3 linked regions of the Drosophila melanogaster genome follow. The protein of the gene in region 2 interacts with the protein of the main gene of each other region in a pairwise test. Each region holds a gene or a part of one and is shown on either strand. Other genes may lie near its edges.

Evidence for each region.
Region 1: the proteins of egg (region 2) and SERCA interact in a two-hybrid assay, tested with the Drosophila melanogaster proteins (one study listed by BioGRID).
Region 3: the proteins of egg (region 2) and AMPdeam interact in a two-hybrid assay, tested with the Drosophila melanogaster proteins (one study listed by BioGRID).

Annotation. Positions count from the first base shown.
Region 1 is NT_033778.4:23,928,192-23,938,393, forward strand, and holds SERCA (Sarco/endoplasmic reticulum Ca(2+)-ATPase), read right to left. Parts: upstream 7,694-10,202; 5' UTR 7,634-7,693; intron 7,490-7,633; exon of another isoform or gene 7,389-7,489; intron 5,894-7,388; exon of another isoform or gene 5,718-5,893; intron 5,550-5,717; exon of another isoform or gene 5,500-5,549; intron 5,254-5,499; exon of another isoform or gene 4,624-5,253; 5' UTR 4,594-4,623; coding exon 4,476-4,593; intron 4,401-4,475; coding exon 4,383-4,400; intron 4,298-4,382; coding exon 4,215-4,297; intron 4,139-4,214; coding exon 1,967-4,138; intron 1,908-1,966; coding exon 1,792-1,907; intron 1,728-1,791; coding exon 1,491-1,727; intron 1,427-1,490; coding exon 1,309-1,426; intron 1,241-1,308; coding exon 1,040-1,240; 3' UTR 924-1,039; downstream 1-923. Other genes in the region: CG3735 (uncharacterized protein), read right to left, coding at 9,277-10,202. UniProt on the Drosophila melanogaster protein: This magnesium-dependent enzyme catalyzes the hydrolysis of ATP coupled with the transport of calcium.
Region 2 is NT_033778.4:24,774,026-24,782,996, forward strand, and holds egg (eggless), read right to left. Parts: upstream 5,877-8,971; 5' UTR 5,789-5,876; coding exon 4,850-5,788; intron 4,792-4,849; coding exon 4,674-4,791; intron 4,603-4,673; coding exon 4,319-4,602; intron 4,266-4,318; coding exon 4,010-4,265; intron 3,948-4,009; coding exon 3,442-3,947; intron 3,384-3,441; coding exon 2,622-3,383; intron 2,551-2,621; coding exon 1,834-2,550; intron 1,776-1,833; coding exon 1,569-1,775; 3' UTR 1,509-1,568; downstream 1-1,508. Other genes in the region: Eps-15 (epidermal growth factor receptor pathway substrate clone 15), read right to left, coding at 1-480, 552-788, 883-948; Lcp9 (larval cuticle protein 9), read right to left, coding at 6,010-6,276, 6,333-6,344; CG3594 (uncharacterized protein), read left to right, coding at 6,933-7,685; TyrRS-m (Tyrosyl-tRNA synthetase, mitochondrial), read right to left, coding at 7,775-7,935, 7,994-8,182, 8,241-8,815, 8,868-8,971. UniProt on the Drosophila melanogaster protein: Histone methyltransferase that specifically trimethylates 'Lys-10' of histone H3 (H3K9me3) in ovary. H3K9me3 represents a specific tag for epigenetic transcriptional repression by recruiting Su(var)205/HP1 to methylated histones.
Region 3 is NC_004354.4:13,835,319-13,842,308, forward strand, and holds the start of AMPdeam (AMP deaminase), read right to left. Parts: upstream 4,694-6,990; 5' UTR 4,453-4,693; coding exon 4,248-4,452; exon of another isoform or gene 4,244-4,247; intron 2,781-4,243; exon of another isoform or gene 2,667-2,780; coding exon of another isoform or gene 2,534-2,666; intron 2,440-2,533; coding exon 2,295-2,439; intron 1,048-2,294; exon of another isoform or gene 128-1,047; coding exon of another isoform or gene 60-127; intron 1-59.

The sequences.
Region 1 (10,202 bases), 850 kb from region 2:
GTCCCCAATATTTTCTATTTTCTATACGGCTAGGCTAGGCTAGGCTATTCGGCTGCATGCCTTATCCATTATGTACGATCGCCATTTATGTACCCGATCCTAATCATTTGCTCATACATGTACATACAATACAATACGAATGGAGACGGAAATGGACACCGAGACGCTGTTGCGGCGCCACGCCCAGATCTGGGGAGTCATTATCTACTTAATATCTTGTGCTCAATAAAATTCTTACAGTAATGGAATGAACGAACCAATATTTGCATTCGGTAAATACTCGTGGGGGATTCAATGGATTCAATTACGTTAAACAAGCCCAGGGATAGGACGATACTCTTGAAACATTAGGACGCTCGCTTGGTGGAATCGTTTAAACATCAACGCACAGATTCGACTTGGAAAGGTTATGGGTATTGTGGGTTCTACTTAATGGGATTAAACAAAAATTTTGTTCTTCTGCATAGTTAAGCCTACACTTTAGTATTCCAGTTACTAAACACAGAAACGAAATGGTTAAGTTACAAAAGTTTGGTTCAATACAAACAGACATCTCATTTCCAGAGACTTGGATTTCCCTACACGGTTCTTTTGGCAACCCGGTGAAATTAAATGACGAAAACTAACTAATGCATTCGAATGTGCCGGTGTGGAACTTTCTTATGTATATAGAGCATTGTATGTACAAAAAGCAATCCTGCTAAATTTAATATAGTAATATACAAACACAGATATCTATAGGGTAGGGTATACGCGTGTTAGATAAATCGTTAGCTCATAGAAAATATTGATCATTTAACGCTGTTTGTTCAAAGCCAAAAGCCAGGAGCGAGTCAGTCGGCCCATCTTTTGGTGCCACCAGTCAATTCTGTGACACCGGGTGGAAATCAGTAGTTGCAGTTGGGAACAAACTTCATGGGGTTAAAGTCGTTACGTTAGATGTATATAATTGTGGGTTCTTGTTTCTGTTTATATTTAGTAACATTTTATACTAGAAATTAGAATAATGAAGTTGGGCTTATGGATTATAATTATATTCTTAAAGCATCATAGCGTACAGCAGGCCAAAGAAGACAGCCCACATTAACACAATCCCATGCATCTTATATATAGGACTCTCACCATCTGCGATTTTTCTAGCAACAAACTTCAATGTCTCATCTAATAAAACTACAGGAATTGAGAATTTCATCACAGTTATCCATTCTTCTGCAGACAACGGTGTCACTTGGAAGACGGTCTGTGGGTAAAACGATACTGGCATTAGTTTCCGCGGCGCAGAAGGGCTTATCATTGCCAAATACTTACGGAGAGGACATCGACGTAAAGAATAACAAAGTGAAGAGTGAAGGAGAGTGCCATTGATCCAATCAGCCACAGGTTGCACCATGGGGGCATGGTAATCAGCGACTGGTTCTCGGACAAGCTGTTTAAACAAAGGCGATCGGTTCGTATCTATCGTGCCGTCCATCATTCGTTATCTCACTCACCTGTTCATTGCGTTCAACATTTCGATTGTCACCAGCACGGACAGAGCCATGGTCATCGCATGGGGGTCGCTGAAGATCTTGCAGTCAACGCCCTTGAACTCGTCGCCACCGCCCAAGCAGGACAGATGGTGGGTCAGCTGCCAGTAGGACAGTTTGGGTCCCTCATCAGAGAACACGAACCACCAGGCGGCGGCACCGACGGTGGCAGCGCCGACATAGAATCCAATAGCCATGTAACTAAAAGTTCGATTGAGGCCAAGTTAATACCGATTAAAGGATGTGTGCTTTTTGAGTAACCCACCGGAAGAACAACCATCCGGAAATGAGACCCTCATCGGCCTTCCTGGGGGGCTTCTCCATGATATCCAGATCAGGGGGGTTGAAGCCCAGAGCGGTGGCTGGGAGACCATCAGTAACCTGTGACCAAGTACCTATTACTAACCATTTTAAGTAGTAAATACCCCATCAAGACGTACCAAGTTAACCCAGAGCAGCTGGACGGGAATCAGAGCCTCGGGCAGGCCAAGGGCAGCAGTAAGGAAGATGGAGACGACCTCACCAATGTTCGAAGAGATGAGGTAGCGGATGAACTGTTTCATGTTGTTGTAGATAGCGCGACCTTCTTCAACGGCAGACACGATGGAGGAGAAGTTGTCGTCAGCCAGCACCATTTCGGCGGCAGACTTGGCGACGGCGGTACCAGAGCCCATGGCAATACCGATCTCAGCCTTCTTCAGGGCGGGGGCGTCGTTCACACCATCACCAGTCATAGCGGAGATTTCGTTCATGCTCTGCAGGAACTCAACAATCTTGGACTTGTGCTGGGGCTCCACGCGGGAGAAGAGGCGGGAGCGGGCGACGGCAGCCTTTTGTTCGGTGGGGGAAAGGTCGTCGAATTCACGACCCGAGTAGGACTTGCCAGTGGTGTCCTCATCCTCGGCGAATACACCGATTCTGCGGCAGATAGCCTCGGCAGTGGCCTTGTTGTCGCCGGTGATCACAATAACACGAATACCGGCGGCACGGCAGCGGACAATGGAATCGAAAACTTCCTTACGGGGGGGATCCAACATGCCCACAACACCGACGAAGGTCAGGTTAACCTCATACTGGTAGAACTTGGTGGAGTCGCCCAGATCCATCTCGTCGGGCTTCATGGGGCTATCGGCAACGGCCAGAGCCAGGCAGCGAAGGGTGTCGCGTCCAGTACCGTACTGGCCGGTCAGGGCGAGGATCTTGGCCTTCAGGGCCGAGGTCAGAGGAACCTTGGTGGTGCCAACGCGGGCGTGTGTGCAACGCTCTAGAACACCCTCGGGGGCGCCCTTCACGAACAACTTGGGGCCAGTGCCCAGGCGGGAAGCCTTCAGGGGGGTGCAGTACGAGGACATGGATTTACGATCGCGAGAGAACTCCAGGGTGAATTCCTTCTTCCACTTGGTTTCGATCTCACCGCGGCAGGCGATGGCAGCCGAGCGGCGGTCCAGGCCAGACTTGTTCACGCTGAAGCTGTTCAGTTTCTCAGCCAGCACAATCAGGGCGGTCTCAGTGGCTTCGCCGACCTTCTCGAAGGCCTGCTTGAACTCATTGTAATCAATGGCGGAGTCGTTGCACATGATGCAGATGGTGGACAGTTCCTGCAGGGTATCGTAGTCAGCAGCCTTGATGCGCTGACCGTTGAGGAAGACCTCGCCGATGGGCTCGTAGGTGGAGCCGGTCATCTCGAATTCGAGGAAGCTGCTGTCGTTGCCTTCAACCTTGTCGAAGATGAACATGCGGGAAACGGACATTTGGTTGGTGGTGAGTGTGCCGGTCTTATCAGAGCAGATGACAGATGTGCAGCCCAGGGTCTCCACGGAGGGCAGGGAGCGGACGATGGCATTCTTCTTGGCCATGCGGCGGGTGCCCAGAGCCAGACAGGTGGTGATGACGGCGGGCAGACCCTCGGGGATGGCAGCCACAGCCAGAGCGACGGCGATCTTGAAGTAGTAGATGGCACCCTTGATCCAGGAGCCTCCGTGAGCGGGGTCGTTGAAGTGGCCGATGTTGATGGCCCACACGGCAACGCAAATGACGGAAATGACCTTGGACAGCTGCTCACCGAACTCGTCCAGTTTCTGCTGCAGGGGGGTCTTGATCTCCTCGGTCTCGGACATCTCAGTACGGATCTTGCCGATGGCGGTGCTCAGGCCAGTGCCGATGACGACGCCACGGGCCTTGCCGGCTGCGACGTTGGTGCCGGAGAACAGGATGTTCTTCTTGTCCTGGTTGACGGCGCGGGGATCGGGGATGGCATCGGTGTGCTTGATGACGGAGACCGACTCACCGGTGAGGATGGACTGATCGATCCTAAGGGTGGTCGAGTAGATGTGGGTGATACGGATATCGGCAGGGATCTTGTCACCGACAGACACCTCAACCAGGTCACCGGGCACGATCTCTTTCGCGCGCACCTTCTGGATGCCGGACTTGTCCTGGCGCACCACCTTGCCCATCTCAGGCTCGTACTCCTTGAGGGCCTCAATGGCCGACTCGGCGTTACGCTCCTGCCATACTCCCACCACGGCGTTGGCTATCAGGATAAGTAAAATAACTAGGGGCTCTACAAATGCAGTGAACGTTTCCTCGTGTTCCTCAAACAGGGCGAGAACCTGGGGATTGCAGAGGGGAAGAGTGTGGTCGTAACTAAGTTTTTGAGGGTGGGTTTCTTTGTGCTGCTGCACTTACAAATGAGATGATGGCTGCCAACAGCAGAATCTTCACCAGCAGATCGTCGAACTGCTCCAAGACCAGCTGCCAGATGCTCTTTCCTGTGGAATACAATCGTTATTATAATGTATGCATACAGTGAAGTGGGGGTGGGGGGCAGGGGATCTGCTCGGGTTGTGTTCGCACCTTCCTCAGTCGGCAACTCTGTAACGATAAGAAAACAAACACGTCAGTCGATTCGGTCTCGGAATGTGGAGGGGAATTACGCGCGACTCTCACCATTGGGTCCGTATTTCTTCTGGTTAGCCTTGATCTGGTCGAGGGTTAAGCCGCGCTCGGGGTCCGTTCCGAAGAAGTTGAGGGACTGTTCGACGGTTTTCGAGTGACCGTCTTCCATCTTGATTCGTTATCCTCTTCGTTCAGTGGCCTGTGTCCAGATTCCGGGGCGATTCAGGTGGGGATTTGAAAGTAGACACAAGGCAAGGGGCTCATTTTAATTCTCTGGCAGGGCTATTTAGCTATTTTGCCGTTTTCTGGGCTCTATTCAACGACTGACTGGAATAGCAAGTGTGTATGCACGTATGTATGCACATACATCTGTACTGGCATGTACGTTTGCAGTTAAAACTACCTCATTAGGTTCTGAATAAGTGGTCGTACATGTGCATGTGCACGGCACTCGGCTCACGGGTACTTTCCAACATACGCACATACACAGGTGCTACATGCTAATTCCCCGATTTCAGGCACTTCTGATCGGGCCCGGACTGGCCACTAAAGTCGCGCAGTTATCGCGCCAACTTAGGATCGGATTGTGCGGATCGGGTCGGAGAATATGCTGGAATATTGCATTACTATGATGGGCTGTTACCCTGGCCAAATCGCTCCGCTTATGAGATTCACACACGTGTCACTTCGCACAACAGACGCAGTTTTCGTTTTTCTATTCTCAGTTTCTGCGGGGGATTGGGGGATCTGGTCCGTAATACGGGTGCTCTGCTCCTACGTTAACCTCGCTAAACGACGCACTGCGTGTGTTAAGTACTTTTTTCCACTGACTCTCTATATAATATAACCCATGGCGCTTTTTTCTGAATATGTGTGCTGATAACTATTGCACTAAGTACCAAGCCGCGATTTACTGCCTATCGCCGTTCTGCCTCACTATGACACGACATTATTCGCACAAGACAGGGCTGACTGAAAACGTATATCGTCCGAGTTACGTTATTTGTGCAGAGCTGCCTCTTTCTCCAACTTTTAAGAATTCTCAGTCCTGGCAATTATTAGATAATTATCCCACCTTTTAGCTCAGCTTCTACTGACGCGTTCAATTTGTGCTACTAAACTGCGATAGCCGGCGTTATCGATAACTGAGAATCTCAACTGCGATGGCTAACTGTTGAGTTTCCGTGTTCAGTAATACCGATAGCTGAGGTGATATAGGAATTTAAAACTAATCAAAGTTTCGAAGGAATTCAGCTGTGCTGGAAAGTTTCTTTATTGGAAAATACCTCTAACCTTATAAATCAAGTTGTTATTGCGATCGAAAACCAAATGTTTTTACTCCCTTCTGTGGTGTAAATCGAACTGAAATCCTTATCACGAATGCTTAAACTTATTTATACATTGTCATATTTTCACTTGGCAAGCGACAGAGACATCCGCACTATTTTGGCCACACAACAAGCAACACTATTCTTTTCGCGCATTTTGTGCTCAAATTAATGAGATCGAGATCAAGAGCCCGCAATAAATAGATCTGGGTGCCAGGTATTCGCCAGCAGCGACATTTTTAAATTTTAATTTTAATCTTTTTCGCGACCAGACACTAGAATCAGGCCATACGGGGAATTTTGAACGGCAGCCAACTCGCATAATACTTGAATATTACGCTGGCTACGTCACAGAATTACATACGTAACTTCTGATAACGAGGTTTCCACCAGTTGCCCGCCCACAAAAGGCGTTAGTTTTCAAAAAACTGTCAATCAATGCGCTCGAATACTACTTATATTTTGAGCACAGAGACGTGTGTTTCGAAAACATCTTCATGCATATAGCCTATATATACCCCTAAAATACACATGTGTGTGTGCATTATGGAGCAAAAAATCGCCTCTGTCCGAGATGGGCTAAAAATAGAGTCCTAGCACCCGAAAAATACAGCTCAATTCTGAACACTCGTAGATATAAAGATATGTACTAGGACCACATAAATAAGTTTGAGTACATATACAGAGAGACGATCGTAGGGAGAAAGATTCCTATTCTGCGCGGTTATATGTACGATTTAACGGCTTATGATATTGCGAGCAGAGATATCTCCATGCTAATGGATGTCGACACTTGTGCGATATGCTGCTTCCCACGTCCCCGAATCCGAATTTCTGATTGACAAGTCCACCGATGGGTTGTATAATAGTGGGTGGGTGGGTTCAAAAATAAGTACAAATGATTGGGCCATGATCCTGGGCTGAATGTACTTATAGAGCTACACGTTTCTGTAAAACTGTCTGTTGGTTTCAGGGATCTTTTGCAACTGAAAGGCAGTCAAATTCACTAACCGATGTAACCACCATTAAGCTATGAATGCGGGTAGTTAAGGAGTTCAAGAGATCGTGTGTTCTATGCTTGTTACAAGGGCTACAGGTACAGTACAAGACATGGATCTTTCGAATTTGGGTACGAATATATTCGCCACGGTTGCGGTTGTGGTTGCATAACCAGATTTTCAATCACAGATACATAGATCTCGGGCACTTGGAAAACTTTACATCTGTGTCGGATCGAATCTATTCGTGGAGTGCTCTCGTATTGGTGACATTCAAATTTTCGATACCATCCGGAGGTCGAGGTCACCGCCGAATCGTCGCCCTTACGGATATTTCATGTATGTAGATAGATCGAACTACGAGCTCTGGACGAGCTCCAGGGTGGCAAAGTAAACTGGGGGCAAACACTTTGAGTTTGAAGCACGGTTTTCGAGTGTAAGAAGCATGTTCGTATGTAGATATGTAGGCATTTCAATAACTTTTGGTTTCCAGGTTTTCTTTTCTTTTGAAAGCGCGCGGACGAATTTTCGATAGTTTTTAGGGGGGTTTATTTGCTTTACCCAATGGTTTTGGCAGTTTGGAGTAATTCACTGGCGTATTCGCTTTGCAGTTGTTGCAGAAAATCAACAAAACTTACAATTATTATTCCTAGCAAAAATTCCGTTATTATATAATAATTTATTTCAGTCGGAAGACCAAGACACAAAGATCGCGCTATTATAACGATCAACGGCAACTGAACGCAAGGAGAACGCTGCGCGATGAGAGTGTCTATTTGAATTACAAAATTCATATATTTTGGCAAAATTCCCAAAACTACATACACTCTCTATTTTGGCCCGGGAAAATACTTTTAGCACGCACAAACTTTTGAGCACTTACCACCTATCCAATCCAATCCAATGCGATCCGAATTCGAATGGTGGCGGTTCAGATCTGCTCGTGCAGCTCGTTCGTACCTCGACGAGGCAGATTCACCGTGGTCCCCCAGAGATTCGTATATGTGGCTAGGTATAGGTGGGAATACCACAATACCACGGGCACACGAGCTCCCCATCCACATACATACATACGTACATATGGCCGCCCGATCTCGGATCCGCGGGAGCGCACGGCCACGAAAGTCTAGAGCAATGGCAATGTGGCGATGCGAGATCACTTGTGGACGTGGATGTGGTTGTGGATGTGGATGTGCCTGGGAGTGTGAGTGCAGACGTATTCCGAGAAATGCACGTGTGTTTGTCTAATATTTAGAAAGTGGTATTTTTAAACCAATCTGGGGAAATTATGCTGGGTTGTGTGGAAGGGTTTGTCACTCAAAGGTGTTTCTACCTTCGGTGTCAGCCACTTCAAGTGGGTCAAGACTTGGGTCCTTTGGTGGGGGGATGGTTGGGAATGATGGCACTGGCACTGACGCATTCCACTTTCGCCGAGCTAGAATCCATCATAGTTATCCATAGCTGCTGCCCTTTGAATATTTTACTTGTCCTTGGCAAATACAACAGATCCCAAATCCCAGCCCAAATACTCATTTCCTCAATCTAGTTGATCTCGATCCATTAACAGCTGAAAGAGCATCCACCAGTCGGCCTGCGAACCCCTAGTTCTTCGTTTGGCTTTTCTGCCTTTTTCCCCAATTTCAGCAGAGACTGGCAGCCGTCGACTATTTTTATTTATAGGCTTGTAATGCCCCTACGGACTCGGACTCTCAGATATTGGCAAGAGCGCTCTCCGCACACGTTTCTGCCGTATGATATCCGCCATCAGCCATCCGCCTTGTGCAGCAGCTATTACGACTTTTCACAGAGACCCCCATAAATATGCATTTGGCTACTATTTTACCTCTATATGTCTAGGCCAGAACTTTTATAAGCTACCTATGTGTATATTTAAAAATGTTGATAAATGACAATGCAGCCAGGAATTTTGATTTATTTTGGGACTGGCAAATCTGGGTTTGATGCGGTTGTCAACCGCTGGATATTGTCTATTTAGGAACTCGGTATATGGTAATGGTTCCAGATTCCAGCAATCTCAAGCAATCAAGCGAAGTGATCATTTAAAAACAAATACAAACTGCAAAATAATGTTTTTTAACACTTAATTGCCTTATAAATGATAACTTTTATTGCATAATGCTCTGGCCAATCTTCCTTTATAAAAAAGGGATATTAAAGTAAAAACAGGCAAAATATATTGAATTCAAATGCATTTTGAATCATTTCATCAATCGGCAAAACACTACTTATGCTGCCTCTTATTACACAACCATTTGCCAATTATTCATTTTTTCATAATTTCAAATTGCGTAATAACAAAGAGAAGACATCGCCACCCTTAACATCAGATCAATCACCTAGCCAGTTCCTCCTAAAATCTCTACGTCACGAAAGTATTTAGGTCCAAAAATAGAGCCACAACTGAAAGTTATCACATACATTACTATTTACTTGCGTTAACATTTAGTATATTCTAATTGACAACTAAATATGTACATATTTCAAAGTCAGCTCTCGTGTAAGCATTTACGTTTTGGTGGAGAAAAGGTAGGAATCCTTTTGACCAGAAGTCAATTTCGCAGCATTCTCACTGCCCACAATGTTACTCAAGCTTAGCAGATCGTACTTTGTGTACAGGATACTGACGGACATTTCGTCCCCAAATCCATCGCGCGGATTTTGATTTGTCTTCAGCATCAGATTGATGATCTCGGAATAGAAGTGCGGAAAGTTGGGCGGCTGGTACATGATCAAGTTCCGGATGCCCTTAATCCGCGTGCGCCGGAAGAAGTGCGCTCTTTCCGAGTACAACAGAACAGATGCCCCGCTGTGGAAGAATATATCTCTCGCCCGGGAAATCTTTTCTTTCTTGGTGTACTCATTTATCTGCACAAAACTGACCATTTCGGTCTTGAAATGGTTGCGTATCCGTACGTAGTCAAAGTAGCTGGGCACGTATAGCATACAGTGCGAGAAACCGGGCTTACTGAATTGGGGCATAATATTCTTGACGAAGTACTGGAACCGATCGTCGAAGGTCGTCTCCACACTGGAGCAATTGATTAGGCGGAAAACCTGATGTATTGGAGTCAGAACGTTCCGGATGTCTCCGTGCTCGACGAGGTTCGAGTCTCGCACCTTTCCCTGGTAGTTGTTGCACTTGCTGTTGAACACTGCCCGGAACTCGGGCAGCTCGTGGGACGAGAAGAACAGGGTTTGGCGGTAGAAACTTGACGCTCCACTCAGGCACCACGTTCGTACCCTCTGGCAATTCGTATCGGGCAGCTTCTGCGGCTGCAGGTGCAGGTGGTCCAGGGAGTGCAGCAGGTTCTCCCAGTTCTGCGCCAGGAACAATTCGGCTTGGTCGATTATCAGCAGTTCAATGGAGTTCAAAAAGTCAAAATCGCTCTCCTTGTCCGTAACCAGCATTCTCAGTCCCAAGGGAGACGCGA
Region 2 (8,971 bases):
CGGGGCTATATCCTTGGGAAAATTTGCTACAAATCCGCCGTCCCCAAATCCTTCCCCACTGGGAGCACGTGGCATAGCAGCACCCGCTGGCGGTGGTGGCATGGCTGGCTTCGGTGGCGGACCTGCTCCTCCGGGCTTTCGCAGCTCGGGCGGCAGAACGCTAGGAATGGTGCGCTTCTGCAGCGTCTGGTAGACCAGGTGCATGGCAACCACGAATTCGTGCATATCCAGGTTGCCGTCCTTGTCCTGGTCGGCCAGGTCCCATATAGTTCCCAGTATGCTCATGGGCAGCTTGGAGTCCATGAGCACGCCTTTAACCTTGTTGCCCGGCAGCATTCCATTACTGGGATGCAGGGACTCGAAGAGCTGCTCGTACTTGAGCCGATCGATCACCCCGATGGACCAGTCTCCGTTTGCCACTCCGCCGCTAGCAACGGGAACAGTCTGAATACGCGACGGCATCGTTTTTGGTAGTTCACCCTGGCGATTGGGGCGACATTAATGTAATATATCTCGTCTTGCCCATTTCGGGCGAAGTTGCGATTACTCACCAACTTGGGCGGGTTGGCAATGTCCAGGTAGATGTTGGCCATGCTGGCCACCTGTCCCGCCTGCGACAGGGACACCAGCTTAAGGGCTACAAAAAAGCCCGGCTTGTCCAGAAAGCCCTTGCCGCTCGGATCAGACAGGTCCCAGATCCTGCTTAGCACAACGTCGCTAAGGCCCGACTTCTTGAGAAACTTGGCCGCAGTCATGGCCTCGATTGCCCCTGTGCCTTTGGGGTCAATCTGCAAAAATCGATAGAGGGTGGGTGTGGATACGGATGCTCAACATTGGCCGCCATCCTGGTAACAGTGCGGCTTGGAGGCGTGGTGCGCTTACCAGTTTGTAGTAGGCCTCGTAGACGCCTATGTGCTTCCCGCACACCCTCGCAAAGTCCACATTCATGGTGTGGAGTCTACTGGCAATTGGTTCCGACTAGCAGTGCAAAAACGCGTAAGCGTAAGCCCGTTATCACAAAATCGATTTTTTCTTCCCAAGGGGCGGATAAGCTGCTCTTAGTCAGCCGTCGGCGGAGTCCTGCTGCCTAGCACCTGTGCACCTGCGACGAGACACTTGCTGGAGCCACTTACAGGTGAGCTTGGCGCATTGCGGCCCCTAATTTAGCTACTCTCGAATTTTAAAAAGCCTAAATTTGCTTTTTTGCTCGGTGGATAGTGTGACCGTTCGGATAACGATTAAAAATACCGTACGGCTGATGATTAAGTATACCACTAGGTAAAATGCGTTAAAATACCACATAAATTAATACCGTTAAATTAACGAACATTATTATTTTTTTAAAGTATAATTTTTTAAAATTCATTTGTCTATATTTATTCCTTTAACACTAAACGTGAAGAAAATTGTGTACTTTGAAACGGACGGTGCAGAACAGCAGTAGCTTATAAAAATGCAATGTTTCCGTTACCCTAACGGAACAGATAATGTTTAAAGTTTAAATTTTTAATTCTAATTCTTCTTTAATGAGTATATTTCCTGTATGGATCTCTAACTTAAGCTAGAACTTAGAGCAGACGAAGGCGGCAATTGGGGGCCCCGCACTGGCAGTACAACACCTTGCCGGGCACCACGCCCACCTCGTAATTGTAGTTCCAAGTCAGCTCGGTGCCGGAGCGGATGTGCGCGGCCGAGAAGAAGGCAACCCAGGGGAAACGCAGGTCGTGAGTATCCACGAACACGTTCTGCACGAAGAGATTGGGGCTGCACGAGTGCTGCGGGAGAAGAAGAGAATCAGCCACACGGCAAAATAACAAAAAACTTCCAACTCACGTTGAAATAGCGTCCAAGGTTGCCCGTTGTCTTGGCGTCCATGATGTAGGGCGCCTCGTCCTTGCCGAAAAGCCTCCGCACCGAGTTCTCCCGCACCGTCTCGTCCAGATCAGCATTTGGGTTAAAGTTGATCACCGCACGCTCCTGCGAGTCCAACTCGCTGCTCTGAGTGGAGCTGTTCTGCGTGGAGCCGCTTCTGGAAGAGCGCTTGATTTTGCGCTGGTAGTGATAGTTTGGCCGGAAGTCGTCATCGTCCTCGGCATCGGGTCCCCCGTTGTCCTCCTCGGCGTCCGGGTCCGAGTGGTCCACCTCCGACTCGTATCCCTCTTTTAACTGTTCAGCGACCTCTATGTAATCTAAGTCCGCGAAATACTCGTCGCCGGCGTCCTGTCCGCCTTCGTTGGCCATCGTCTCCGTGAGCAGATGGCCGGCGTAAATACAGATGAAAGCACCCTTGGGGATGTCGTTAACGCAGCGCAAGCCCCATCCACGATTTGAGGTCTTGAACACCTGCAGTTTCATCTCTAGGGAGAACTGCACCACCCGGTTCAGGCAATTCTTCTTGCACTTGCAGCGCGAGTTGCACTCGTAGATGCCGGTGGGCACGTGCTCGTGGAGCCGCTTGTACTGGTAGCCTATCTCCTCGATGGGTTTCTTCGGGTTACAGTACCGCACGCCCGCCACCGTTAGCTGCCAACAGGCGCACTTTGACTTGTCCTGATAGGGATACACAAAATAGTGGGCGGCTGGGTATAATTTGAGGTAATCAGATCTGTAAGACGTCTTACCGAGCAGTCGTCCTCGCAGTCGCAGCACAAGAGGAACTCCTCGTCCAGATTCAGATGAACACCCTCGGTAGGGATGCGCTGCTTCGCGTAGGTGCATGGGGGCGGCAGGGTGTTGTCGTAGTAGTTTACCAGCGGAATCGCCATCTTCTCCTGCCCCTTTGAAATGTCCGTGTCCTTCACGATCGAGGGATCAATGGAGTACTCGGCCAGACACTTGAGGTCGGGCGTAAAGTCAAAATTGTCTACGTTCAACACATTTTCAGTAGCTCGAAGGTACCTGTGAACTTCGGCCAGGCTGCGCAAGCTTTTGCCACAAGGTCCCTTGTATACCACAGACTTCTTGGTCTTCTGCCGCATGACAAGACGTTCCCAGCCAGAAAGCAGAGGCTTCGCTAACGGACTGTAGCTGTCCAGACGGTGAACGATCTTAAAGAGGCAGTTCGGGCTGCACTCGTGGCACTTGTACATTTTGGGAGGCAGATTCCGCTTGGCTGTAAAGTAGACTACATGGCCCTTGGGCCTGTTCTCGTCGTCCACGTAGATTGTCGAGTTGTTTAGGTGTCGCACAGCACTTGCGCTATTACTGGTGCTGACACCTCCTGCATTGGTGCGTCCTCCGGCTGGGGTTGCTGCCGAAGATGCAGCCGCTAATGCGTTATTTTGGGCGGAGGCGCTGCTCTTGCGGGCAAAGGCACGCATCTGCTGGTTCACCTTGCTGCTGGACTCCATCTCCTTGGTGTACCGAATAAAGGGCTCCGTGCGCTGAAAAAGAAAGACATTTTGTAGTTAGGACCGCAGGATGAATCGACACGATGCTTACTCTTGGGACACGCAGCTGCTGTGCGCTTGAACTGTTCATATTGTTCTGGGTTTCCCTGAAGACAGGACCCAAGCGCAATGAACCCCTGTATATCCACTCCGTATGGTTTTTGTCGCCCTCAAACTGCATCAACACCAAGCTGCAGTCGATGTCAATGACGCGCGCGTACAGCCAGGTCCCGTTCGATTCAGTGGTCATACTTTGTCCCCGGGTGCATTGCACCATTGGACGATCCACGGAGTACTTCTCCACGTACTTCTGTATGAAATCGCGCGATGCGGCGTGTACGTCCTCCCACACTTTCTCGGAAGCCTGGCAAACTAGACGGACATCGCGGTGCGGAACGTACTGAGTGTACCCATCGTCGTAGAATATTAGGTAGCGGTAGCGATTGGCCTGCTTCAACGGCTCAGCGATGATGCCTGGATAAAAGGCGCTCTGCACCACGCCCTTATCCTTGCCCCGCGACAAAGTGGTGCCATCGAAGTACGCAATCACGCGGGTACCTAGTGCACAATGAGTGGGTTAGTTTATAGATTGATAAATAACCGGTCTATTGGGAACTAACCAATGGTCAGTCGCACTGGCGGTGGTTCGAAGTAGGCAATGTGCTTGGCCGTCACTGTCTTGATCATCTGGTACGGAGTGTTGAGGTACCTAATCTTGTAGCTCTTCATCGTGTTTCCGTTGATGGCGGTGCTCTCTGTAAACTCGATTACCTTTATGGACACCCAGCTGGCAATAGCCTTGTTCTTAACAGCGTAGTATGTCTCTCCCAACTGTATTGGAGGACGCACGATTTCGCCAGGAGGTGGAACTTCATGCTGAGTAAATGGTTGTATTAAATCAGATCCAAACGGCATCACTTCTTACTTACCACATAGTCACTGGGTTCAATGTCCAGGGTGGGCAGATGTTTGTGTGCCACCGGACACGAGTTATACAAAGCGCAGTGCATTTTGTCAGCGGTGGTCTGAACTTTTTCGAGTTCCACATCTGCCAGTGCGAATTGTCGCTCCAAGTGGTCTGCTTTCGCCTGGAGAATAGTTTTTGACCAGGACAGCTGAGCCGTAAAATCCACCTTGTTAAGTACATTTTTGATGGCATCATCGAGTTCATCTTCGATGAGCTGCAGCTTGTTTTTCGAAAAGTCCGATTTTTCTGTGCGGATAAAATATATTTAGTACGTTTTTTTTTTTGCTATTGTTTATTTATCATGATAGCAGTCTCACCTGGCTGCTTCTCCTCTTCCTCCTCATCGCTGCTGTCCAGAGCCACAAAGTCGGCGTGATCCTGATGGAAATCCTTTAGCAGCAGCGGCTGCTTGGCCATTAGTTGTCCAGCATACTCCTAAATAAAGAAATACGTTCTAAGTTTCCCTCTTAAGTTAATAAATATGCTAGTTGACCTCATACAAGTCCATTGCTGTGTCATGGCATCCCATGCAGAGGAACTGCTGCTTGGAAGACTTTCGGAGCACCTGGTAAAAGTTTAAAGTGGCCATGTTAGCCAACACGTACTGTTTATGAAGCTTTGTGCAATTGCAGTTGACACATTCCTTGTCGTAGAAGACATCTCCATCTGATAACAAAGCGTTCAGCTTCTCGTCTTCTGCAGCTTTCGGAGCAGTGCCCTTTTCAAGCTCCACCTCTAGGACATCGTCTTTTTTATCAACAATTTTGTGTTCTTCGATTTCCGTTAAGCTAATACGCTTGTGACCTTTTAATGTATTCTCAATTTTGTATTCTTCTGCTGGTCGACTTATTGACTCCTCGACGTCCTGATCTACCTCCATGCCAGGAGGTTCTTGCTCATTTTCCTTATTGGTCTTTTCATCTTTTTCAGGAAAACTTTCGGATGTGGGACTGCTGATGCTGCTATCAGTCATTTCCTCGGCCTCTTTAGCCGCAGCTTCATTGACAGCATCTGGTTTTGGCGGATCTTTCTCACTTTCGTTGGCGGAGGAGAATTTGACAGGACTCTCTATTAGCTCAACACTGCTGTCCGAATCCACAGCTACCAAAACCGGGCTGCTTGCAATGGCTTTCGTGTTCTCTCCCTTGCGGTCCTCCGATTCGTCGGCCAACTTTCCAGGTTCATCAGGGGCCTTACCTCCATATGGGCACTGCTTCCTGGTTGAACCGGTGGCGGCGATTGCTTCACTGTGTGTCAGTTCCTCAATTTCCACATCCTTTGCGGCTTGTTCTGCAGGAGACTCCAAGCTATTTTCTCCTTTGCGCACCGGCAACCCGTAACTTTTTTCCCTCGACGCCGGTGTTTCTTGGACATCCTCCACTGTGCTTCCACTGCTCTCTAAGCAGTCCACGGCTGTTGGCTGCCCAGACATAGTTTTAATGAGTTTACTTAACTTTACACATTAATGCAAATTTGCGAGACAAGCGATAACATTGTATAAAATTTCGCTCGTAATTTGCCAGCCCTAGATTTTAGTGGCAGAAAGAAGAAGAGTGTCTATTCACACAAAAGAAAAAGAACGGAAATTCAAAATGTTCGCTGCTGCAATGGATTTAATTTTTTATTTCGGTCTTCGGGAGTGGGTCCTGTTCATTAGGCCTCGACGACCTTTGGGTGGTAGCCGGTTTCATCGGCGGTGTAGACCACTTTGACGGTCTTGCCGTTGGGGGCCACGTACTCGTACTCCCCGGAAACCACCCAGTTGTCGTGCTCCTTCAAGGCTCCAGTTTGCACGGCGCGAATATGGTTGGATAGCTCATAAGCGTAGTTAAAGTCCAGCAAGTTAACCTCGGAGTCGCTCTTTACAACATCAGCCTCCTCGTTGGCGAAGACCACGGCCAAAAGGCAGGCAAGAACGATCTAAAAGACAAATCGTTGTTCAGAGGTCCCCAAAATCTAATTTCGATGCCACTTACCACAAACTTCATGGTTGGAAAGGGGATGTGTGTGCTGATAGATAGCGATAAAATTTTGACTGCTGGTTGCCGAAAATTGCGCTTTTATATGTAGCTCTCCACTGACATTTTACCGGCCGGAATCACCAACTGCATAAATTTTCTTCATAACTGGCTCCCAGCGGTCGTTTGTCTTAATTAAACAAAAGACATAGATGCAGTCATTCTGCAGGCATTAATTATCGCCCCACTCGGCATATCATATTCGGGGGGTTATCTTTGGAGATCTGTGCGGAAGATTCCCAAAACAACCACGTTCATCAATTGTCAGCACCGCACGATTAATTTTTAGCTGATAAGAGCTAACCGGTTCCTTCGATGCTAACGCCGATTAGCATTATTTTCGCATAACTCCATTAGCAGTCTGATTTTGCTCCCGCAGTTGCAACCGGTTTCTAACAAGCTGCGATTGCAATATGGCCTGGGATTTGAATTTCTTGGCGCGCAATTAGCCAGTGCTGGAAAATGTCTGGGACCGCACAGATTTGCCATTCAGAGGGAATCCCACGTGGTGGTGTCTGCGTATCGGTGTGCACTGCAATCTCCCCCAGAAATATCACGATGGCCAGTGATTCTGGCAGCGATTATGAGGTGGAGGCTTTCTTCAATCCCAAGCGAGTTCAACGCACAGTCAACGACGACAGTGCGGATCTATTGGGAAACTTCGATGACCAGAAGCGAAGGGAGATCTTCGAGGGCACGTATGTGGACAAGGAGGACGGACGGAATCCCAGTGACCCGGAGGATAGTAAGAGCGAGGATGAGGCCAAGTCCGACGACGAGGCAGCCGCTGAGGGCAGTGCTGCTTCCGGAGCCGAGGAAGAGGAATCTGCGGAAAATGGGCAGATAACCAGTGACCAGCTGAGTTCACTGCTTCGAGGAGCCTCCAAAACCAACAGACACGTCCTGTACGTGACGAACCTGAACTTCGAAACCACAAAGGACGACCTGGAGCTGCACTTCTCTGCGGCAGGCACGGTCAAGTCTATCCGCATTCCCAAGAAGCGACGAGGGGGCTTCGCCTTTGTGGAAATGGCCGACCTAAGCAGTTTCCAGAATGCCTTCCAGCTGCACAACACAGAGCTGCAGGGACGCAACATCAAGGTGCAGATCTCCGAGGCGGGCAAGAAGAAGTCGGCCAACAAGAAGAACATCATCAAACAGAAGAACCGAAAGCTGGCCGAGATGCGCAACGAGCAGAAGACCTTCACGAAGAGCGGCAAGTTTTACGACAAGGACCTGAAAAAGGAGAAGGCCAAGGAAATGCTGGCGCGAAAGCGGTGGCGCAAAAAGCCCGCCCCCAGACCCACATAAATAGCATAAGTTCTTACAATGTAAGCCATTCTATGATTATTTAACAACAATTAAAAGTTAACATTACCGGATAAGAGGTTTACTGTTAACTATTGCCAGCGCACAATATAGAAGTTGCGTTTGCCCACGCGCAGCAGAGAAATTCCGTTGCGCAGGATGTGCACGCCCGTAGTTAGCACTTCGGCGATATTCTGCACCCGCTTCTGGTTAACGTAAAATCCGCCTGCGTTTATAATGCGTACAGCATCCGCTAAAGAGTGATCACAAATCGATTATGCCCCATATTTCCAAAGAGAAAGATAACTTACTCTCCGTGGGAAAGCACTTCGCCTTCATGGCGAGCTCTAGGATGGACATTCCTGGCTCGGTCAACAGGTTCACCATAGTAGCACCCTGAAAAGTCTGCTGGATCTCGGAAAGGTTGAGTTCCGCTAAACCCTCCACGTTGCCTTTGTATAAGGCATTGGTCACACGTTCCGCCTGCTTCAGCCCACTTTCTGTGAATTGAAAACTTCTATACTACTGATATAAAGGAACAATGATATAGAGTACAACCTCCATGAACCAGCAGAGTCACGTCCTCAGCCAGCAGAGTCTGCGCCTTCCGCTTCTCGGGCTCCTTCGTGTGCTCCCGCATCAACTGCTCCACCTGGGGCAGCGGGATGAAGGTGAACAGCTTCAGGAGCTTTTCGACCTCGGAGTCTGGCATGCGCAGGAAAAACTGGTAGAGGGCGAAAGGCGAGGTCTTGTTACCGTCTAGCCACACTGCATTGCCTGCCGACTTGCCGAACTTATCGCCCTCTTCCGTCGTGACCAATGGCAGGGTGAGCCCGAAGACCTCTCGCTTTCGCTCTACGCGGCTAATAAGCTCGTGTCCAGTCATTAAATTGCCCGTCTGATCGGAGCCTCCCATTTGAAAGCAGCAGTTGTGGCGGCGCAGTAGGTGCAGCCAGTCGTAGGCTTGGAAAATCTGGTAGGTGAACTCGGTGAAGCTCATTCCGTCCTCCGACTCCAGGCGGGACTGCACCGAGGATCTGGAGAGCATTGACCCCATGCGAAAGTGTCGTCCCATGTTGGCCACAAAGTCGATGAGCTGCAGGTCCGCATACCAGTCGGCATTGTTGACGATTCTGCGGAGATTAGAAAGAGATTAACACGACCTGATGTAGGCTACACACTCACATTAGGGGAGCCAGTGGCAATTTCTGTTTCTTAGAGTCCCAAAGGCAGTTCTCGTGATTTTCGAACACCCGGCGAAGCTGTTGCTCGATAGCCTTTAGATTGGT
Region 3 (6,990 bases), on a different chromosome or scaffold from region 2:
CACTGACAACTTTGGTACTACGTATATGCAATATATAAGGGATCTCCTGCTAGGCTGACCATTTGCAATCATCGGGCTGATACTCGTAGCAGCGACCAAAGCTATAGCTATCATCCGCGAAGGACATCCTGCCTGGACTGGTGACCACCGCCAAATGGAGCACTTCGCCACGGGTCTCTCTTCACTTTGATGGCGATGGAGATAGGGTAATGATCGATTGGTGAGTTGATTTATGGCAACGCAAAGCTACCGATTGTCGCTAATTTGCAATCCAGCACGCTATTTAAGATACCTCTTGCAACACCCAAAAAAAAAAACCCAATTCAAAGTTGCCACAAATTGCGTGCCTTAACACAGTATCTAAGCTAAATTGCTATGCTTCGATTGTCCTTTGTCTGGTGAATAAGCTCTTGAACTTTATATCTAAGATAACTGCTACTTTAAAAATAATTACTGAACTCTTCAGAAAGTATATCTGCGTGTAATCTTTAAAGGGTACACACTCTAAGAACAACTCTCTAGAACTTAAAACTAAGACTTAGTTGCAATATCACTAGATTGGCAGATAATGCCACTCCAAAATTGTCAAGTCTTCTGCAACATTTGTATATATATGTATATAAAAACCCGTCACTTGGGGATTTCCCCTTTTGCTTTTGTTAACTGGCGTGCGAAACCTGTCGGAATTCTAAGTTTATGCCAAAAAAAAAAAAAAAAAACTTGAAGTGTCCGTGCGAGTTGGAAAGTTTTTGCCAACGCCGCTTCTTGGCTTCTTTGCCACTTTTTTTTTTATTTTATTATTTTTTTTTTGAGCGACGCCTGGCGTGCGACACGAACAACAATGGTTGGTGAATTTTAGTGGGACAGTGGGTGGCTATAGATGGGCTAGATGGCAGTTCGATGGCTGGTTTTGCCTATTAGGCGGGCTCAATGTCAGCGGAGGTCGCACAGGTAGTGTAGTACAGTGTAGTGCCAGGTGGGTAACTTTGGGCCGCGTTTCGCGACGTTGAGCTGCCCGTTTATTGGATCGGAGCGTACTGAAAGTGACGGCATCCGCGCCAGAACTCAACCGTCGCTTGCAGTGGTTCTCCTGGCGGCGGTGCTGATGGTGGTGGTGGTGGTTCATTACGCCATAAGCCCTAGCACCACCACCATAACCACCACTACCGGCTCGATTTTAGGCGGCTTGGGCGAAAGTCCATCACCTCCGTCATGGCTGTCTGTCTAATGCACTTCCATTCAAAATCAAAACGTGTTCTGCATCGGTCCACACTTTCCCCGGCCAAAAATGAAAATCCAAACAGCAACCGAGATCCGGACTCTGGCGGCAGACATAAACCCACTTTGGATTACGCCCGGGAATCTACATACATACATTCACCGCCCACCTGGCAGACTGATAATTGCAACGCCTACACATTTTGTGGCTGCCTCATTACGGGGCTATAGAAACTGCTCATGATTGAGAGCCAAGCAGACTGAAATGCGTGCAAATCCTAAGAATATGTTCAAATATAAAAAAAATATATTTCCATCTATTATGAGATGTAAGATCCTAAGATATGTTCGAATTACAAAATATTCAAAGAAAATATTATCATTTATTTTGAGATGTAAAAACATATTTTCATATGTTTCCCAGATAAGATTTGTTTTTATTTTTGTCCTCTTTAAAATTTCTTTGTTTGTTTAATAGAGATTTTAGCCTTGAAAAAAATCTAACCTTAATATAGAAAAGCTGATAAGGACTCAATCACGAGATCTGTGAACTCGCCGTGTTTTTTGTCTGCTTTGCATGTAAAGTAAACAAATCTAAAGCGAAGCAGAACCGATTTAGGTTTGGATCTGATTACTATAACCGAATAATGGGGATTTGAAGACATATAATTTAATCTATATATATATCTATGTAAATTATGAAGATATATTTACAAACAAAAAGTACATAGTAAACTTCAACTGTCGTTTGTTATTTTAAAAATGAAAGTTTGCTTTTCTATATATTGTGTGAAACTTACATTTTGAAAGTGTAGAGCTTCTCTAAAACGTATTATATTTTATTAAATGTAGCACGTAAGACAGGTTGTAAGTCCTATTAATAACTGATTAAACTGTAATATGTTACAGTTTCCAATAGCAAATCACTAAAGTTTTGCTGATAAGTGAAAAATAATCAGGTCTTTCTCAAAATCCAACAATTTAAAAGTATAATCTCTCAAAGCTAAATTACCATTTAATTTTAATCATTATGGGAGCATCTTTATGATATATGTATATTGGTTTCTAACACTCACTTTTCATTGAGATGGCGCTGGATTTGCAGCTTCTTCTCGATCTGTTCAATGGGAAATTGGGGCACTTCATAGGGCGCCGAGATCTCGTTGGTCACCTCCACATCAGCTTCGGCCTTCTCATCCACCGGTGAATCGGCGAGATCACCTAAGAAATTAGAAAACAATCATATTTATAGGGATTCAAATTAAACAGGTAAAGTTATTAAGTTATAGATCCCATTGTGGTGCAAAACACCTACTGAGATCGTCCGATGAAATGGTGGGCGTGGAGGAGGCGGTGCCTTTGTCATTTAGCTGATTTCCCATCGATCCCCCATAAAGTCGAACATCGACGCGCAACCGATGGGCGGTATCCATGCGATTGAAGTTCATGGCAAAAAAAAAAATGAAAAAGTGTACAGAAAATGCAGAGAAAACCCGGGAAATCGGAGGATCGTAGACAAGGTTGTGTTGTGAAGTAACTTGTTCGAGAGTTGTCGCCTGAATGAAATTGGAAAACGTCGAAGATCGGAGAATTCCAGGCCGAGATCTACCGACGTCGACAGCGACAGCGACTGAGACTGCGACTGCGACTGCAGCAGAGGCGCATCATCTTTGGAGGCACAAATAAATAATAAAAAAAATAAAATTAAACGAACTAAAACATTGACTTCCAAGAAAACAACCACACGGAATTGATTGGCGACTACAAATTGGGCGAACAACAAAGTTTTACAAAAAAGAAGGGCACTGAAAAATATTTACATATAAGCTTAGATTCACTGTGAAATTATTAATCCGAACTAACTGATATTCAAGATCATTTGAATAGATCACTTGGATGTTTGGTAATAATTCAAATATAGATTATAATAGCTAATATTATTTATTTTAATTGTTCTTTTATATTTTTTTTGCAGTGTAAAACAGCACGAAAGAGACGGAAATGGAGGAGAGAGGGATTAGCGGAGATAGCAAAAATACTGGCAAAATCAAAACACGCACTCAAAACACAACAAACTAGATGAGGAGACTGATTAAAACGATCCGAAGTTGGAATACACTTCAAGGTCACAAAAACAACAATAATCTCCTATCATCAAAGGAATAAACCCGCCGCAAAGAATCATATTTAAGTGGGCTAATTATCTTAACTAAAAAGCTTATTATTCCACAAGGCACCGGGATATATTCGCAGAAACTTGATTGACGCAATCTAAACTGATTTATTATCATTTTATTTTTGTATATTTTGAAGTATGTATCTTAAGAAACCCAAGTGCTATACCACTTTACAGGGTATTATAACTTTCCTATATTTCTATATGGGTTAGTGCGACTCAAGAGATGTTGCGACTGATTGGCAGCGCAGCGACAGAGGATTAGCGCTACACTGAAACAATGCAGTGGTACATACAATAATAAATGAATTAAACAATTTTCAGGCAACTGATGCGGCTTGTGGGCAATATTTGCTTAATAAAACAAGCATTGTTAACAAGTTAAGAAGTTCTTAAATACAGCTTGTAACCAAAGATCATATCTGCATCCACACAAGGCATTTCTTCGAGTGTAGCGAACCGTGTGAGTTATTGCTACAGGTTTTTTTTTTGTTTTGAGTGAGAGTGCTTTGCTGTGTGCGTGGGAGAGTGAATGTCATTTGCTTTCTTTTTGCAGCAGAGAAAATAGAGAGAGAGAGAAAGACAAAGACAAAGACATCGAAAGAAAGAGATGTACAAAGAAACATTCAACTTGGTATAATATTGTAATAGGTAAGCGATGATTTGCAAGAAATAAGTTAGCCCATCTTCATTGATTTAAGGCCATACGTTTTGCTACCAACTGGACTGCTGTGTTTTCGCGCAGTGCACGAGGTCAGTGGGTGGCGGTTGGGTGGTTCGTGTGGCTCGTGTGGCTTGTGTCGTCGCGATGCATTCACTTACATGGGCAGCGGCTGGGGAACTGGCGACTTACATGTCGCCCTTAGGGAACTCGGCTTTTGGGGCATGGACATGGAGGTGCAGGCGTTGAGGGACTTGCCGCTGGCCTTGCTGCCCAGCGGACCGGCCGCATTGGTGGCCGCATGGGACATCATCGATCCGTCAAAGGAGTCCACATCCTGGACGCGCAGCTCGACGGGCGAACCGTCCGAGGTGCTCAGCATTCCGCGGTACGACATCTCGGCAATTGAGATCCTGGATCCTGGGATCCTGAACGGTCTATATTGGCTAACGGCTAATCCAAATGAGTGTTTCGTGTTGATTTGTTTCGATTTTTCTCCGATGTTTACTGATTTGTGTGTTGTGAAAATCTTGAGTGTTTGTGTTTTTTTTATTTTTGTTTTGTTTTTTATGTAATTCCCCCGGTGACAGGTGTCGCCGCTCTGCTCGATATTCTGCTCTGGGGCAATGTCTTTGGGCAACTGTCGGTTCGGATCGGTGGAATATATATACCGCCCGCGATCGACTGCACTTAATTTAGTTTGAATTCCGTTCGACGCAATTCGCGCATCTCCTACGCGTCTGTCTTTCGCTTTTTTCTTTGTCTACGCCTCAGTATTTTCCTCTGCTTTCTCTCCTCTCTCACTCTTTATATAGTTTCACACCTCTCCCGATCCCAGCGGATCCAAAGTTTATATATCGGGTAAAGTTGGTAGGGAGCTTTCTAGTCACTAGCAAACACGGCTGCGGCACAAAGCTCGGAAAGCCCACAATGTTTGCTAATTATAAACAATATTTTGGATAAACAAACTGCATATAGCCACGCCGAATGGGTGGAACGCCAAAGGGGGTTTTCAAGATCAAAGCTCTTCGAACCCAGTAAAAAAAATAGATATATACATATGTACAAATTAGACGATTAACAATATGGCATCGTCTCTAACTTTAACCTCTTCTGATTAGCTAAGAATGGGCATGTGATTTAAAGGACTAACAGTTTTTCCATTTATTGAAATTCGGAAAAACGACTTTTACCAAAAATTTGATATTTACAAACCGAATTTTCGTCATAACTTTGGTAAAAATGGTCATATAGATAAAAGAATACCTGTTTTGAGCAGCTAATTACCAATGCTAACTAATTCTATCACTTTTTGACGAATTTTGGAAAAAAAATTTTTTCGTAAATTTTTGCATTTTTTGTAAGGGGTACCATCATCAAAATTTGCAAAAAATTGCAAAAAAATGGAATTCTAACTTTTAAATACAGTTTGATTGGAAATTTAATTACGAACTCAACGATATATGACATTCCATATTTGGAGCACTAATTTTCAAGTTTTGGTCAAAAAATGGATTATTTTTATACCCAAATTCAAAATTTTACCATTTTTGTAACCCAAAATTTGCGAAAATGGCAACAATTTAGAATTTTTATATTGAAATACTAAATGAAAAACTACTTTTCAAACTCAGCGAGGTACGATACATCATTTTAGGTAAATTTGTATAAATAATTTGGCCAAAAGGCGGACCTTATTGGTCAAAAATGCATTATACTGTGCCACTCTTTAAATTGATTATGGAATTGGTTATTTCTCAACTTGAAACCACCTATATGCTCATTTATCATTGTCAAATACATAATTTCTGCATAATACTTGTAGACCACCAAATTAATGATCCATTTTGGCGATGTTTCGATCGAATCGATCGACAAGTGATAAGTACGATAAGGCTGCCTCCTTGACACACCACTTCAAATTCGTAGTTTGCTATTCCGTATTCTAGTCTGGTAACTTTCCTCTATTAGGAGGGCTCGGCTCGATTTGTTTAACGCCCTGTCAGAAGTGGCTTATCAATAGCCCCCAGATGGGAGCCAAAATTGGAATTGGAATTGGAATTGGCAATGGAGTATCGGTATCGGTGGTTAGCGGTGGGTTGTTAATAACCCATGTGAAGTTTTTTCAGCTTTTTTTCTTTTTTCTTTGATAGCTTCATAGGCCAATTGGTTTGTTCAACCTGGTGGTATTGTGCGCTTTTCGCCATGTCTGCAAGTCATTGTCAGTTCATTTGCCTTATTTGCCGAGTGTGCGATATGCAAACATTCATACATATACTATGCAAATATATATGTTTATGTATATATAGATATATATATTCATATGTATATATTGAAAGATGGGCATTCTTATAGACGTGCATATATGCGTTTGTTTATCTGTTGTACGTTTCAATTTATTATTCGATTGTGCTTAAGCTCATTTCATTTTATCTCGTTATATTTTTGGCAACGCTCTTTGTTTTGTGTTTATTGACCGAATTGCGAACTTATTAATTGCTGCGTTCGGGATTTTCGTGTTTTTTTTTAAATTTTTCTTGGGCAAAGTGCCCGCTGAGATGGCCACTATTGATTTTCACATGAAAATATGGCCGTGACTTGCGTAATGGCAGCCAGGAAAAGTCGGCAAAAGAACGACTTTAGCCGCGGCTTTACTTTCGACTTTCCGTTCGATTCGACTTCGCGCCGACAACTGATTCTGATTTTCCACTCAGTTTTGGTCGGTTTGATTGGAAAATCTGCCACACGTATATGTTATAATAAACAGTTTTATTTGGCATGACTATCTGCATTTAGTCTTGATTTCCGCCGTCGGAAAAGTAAGAGAAAAGCCAGTCGGAAAAGAGAAGGCTGAGCGTAAGAAAAGCCAAGAGAGTCGGCATTTGTTTTGTCACAAATAAATCATTTAGGGGCTTAGAACGATACAGGTACATAT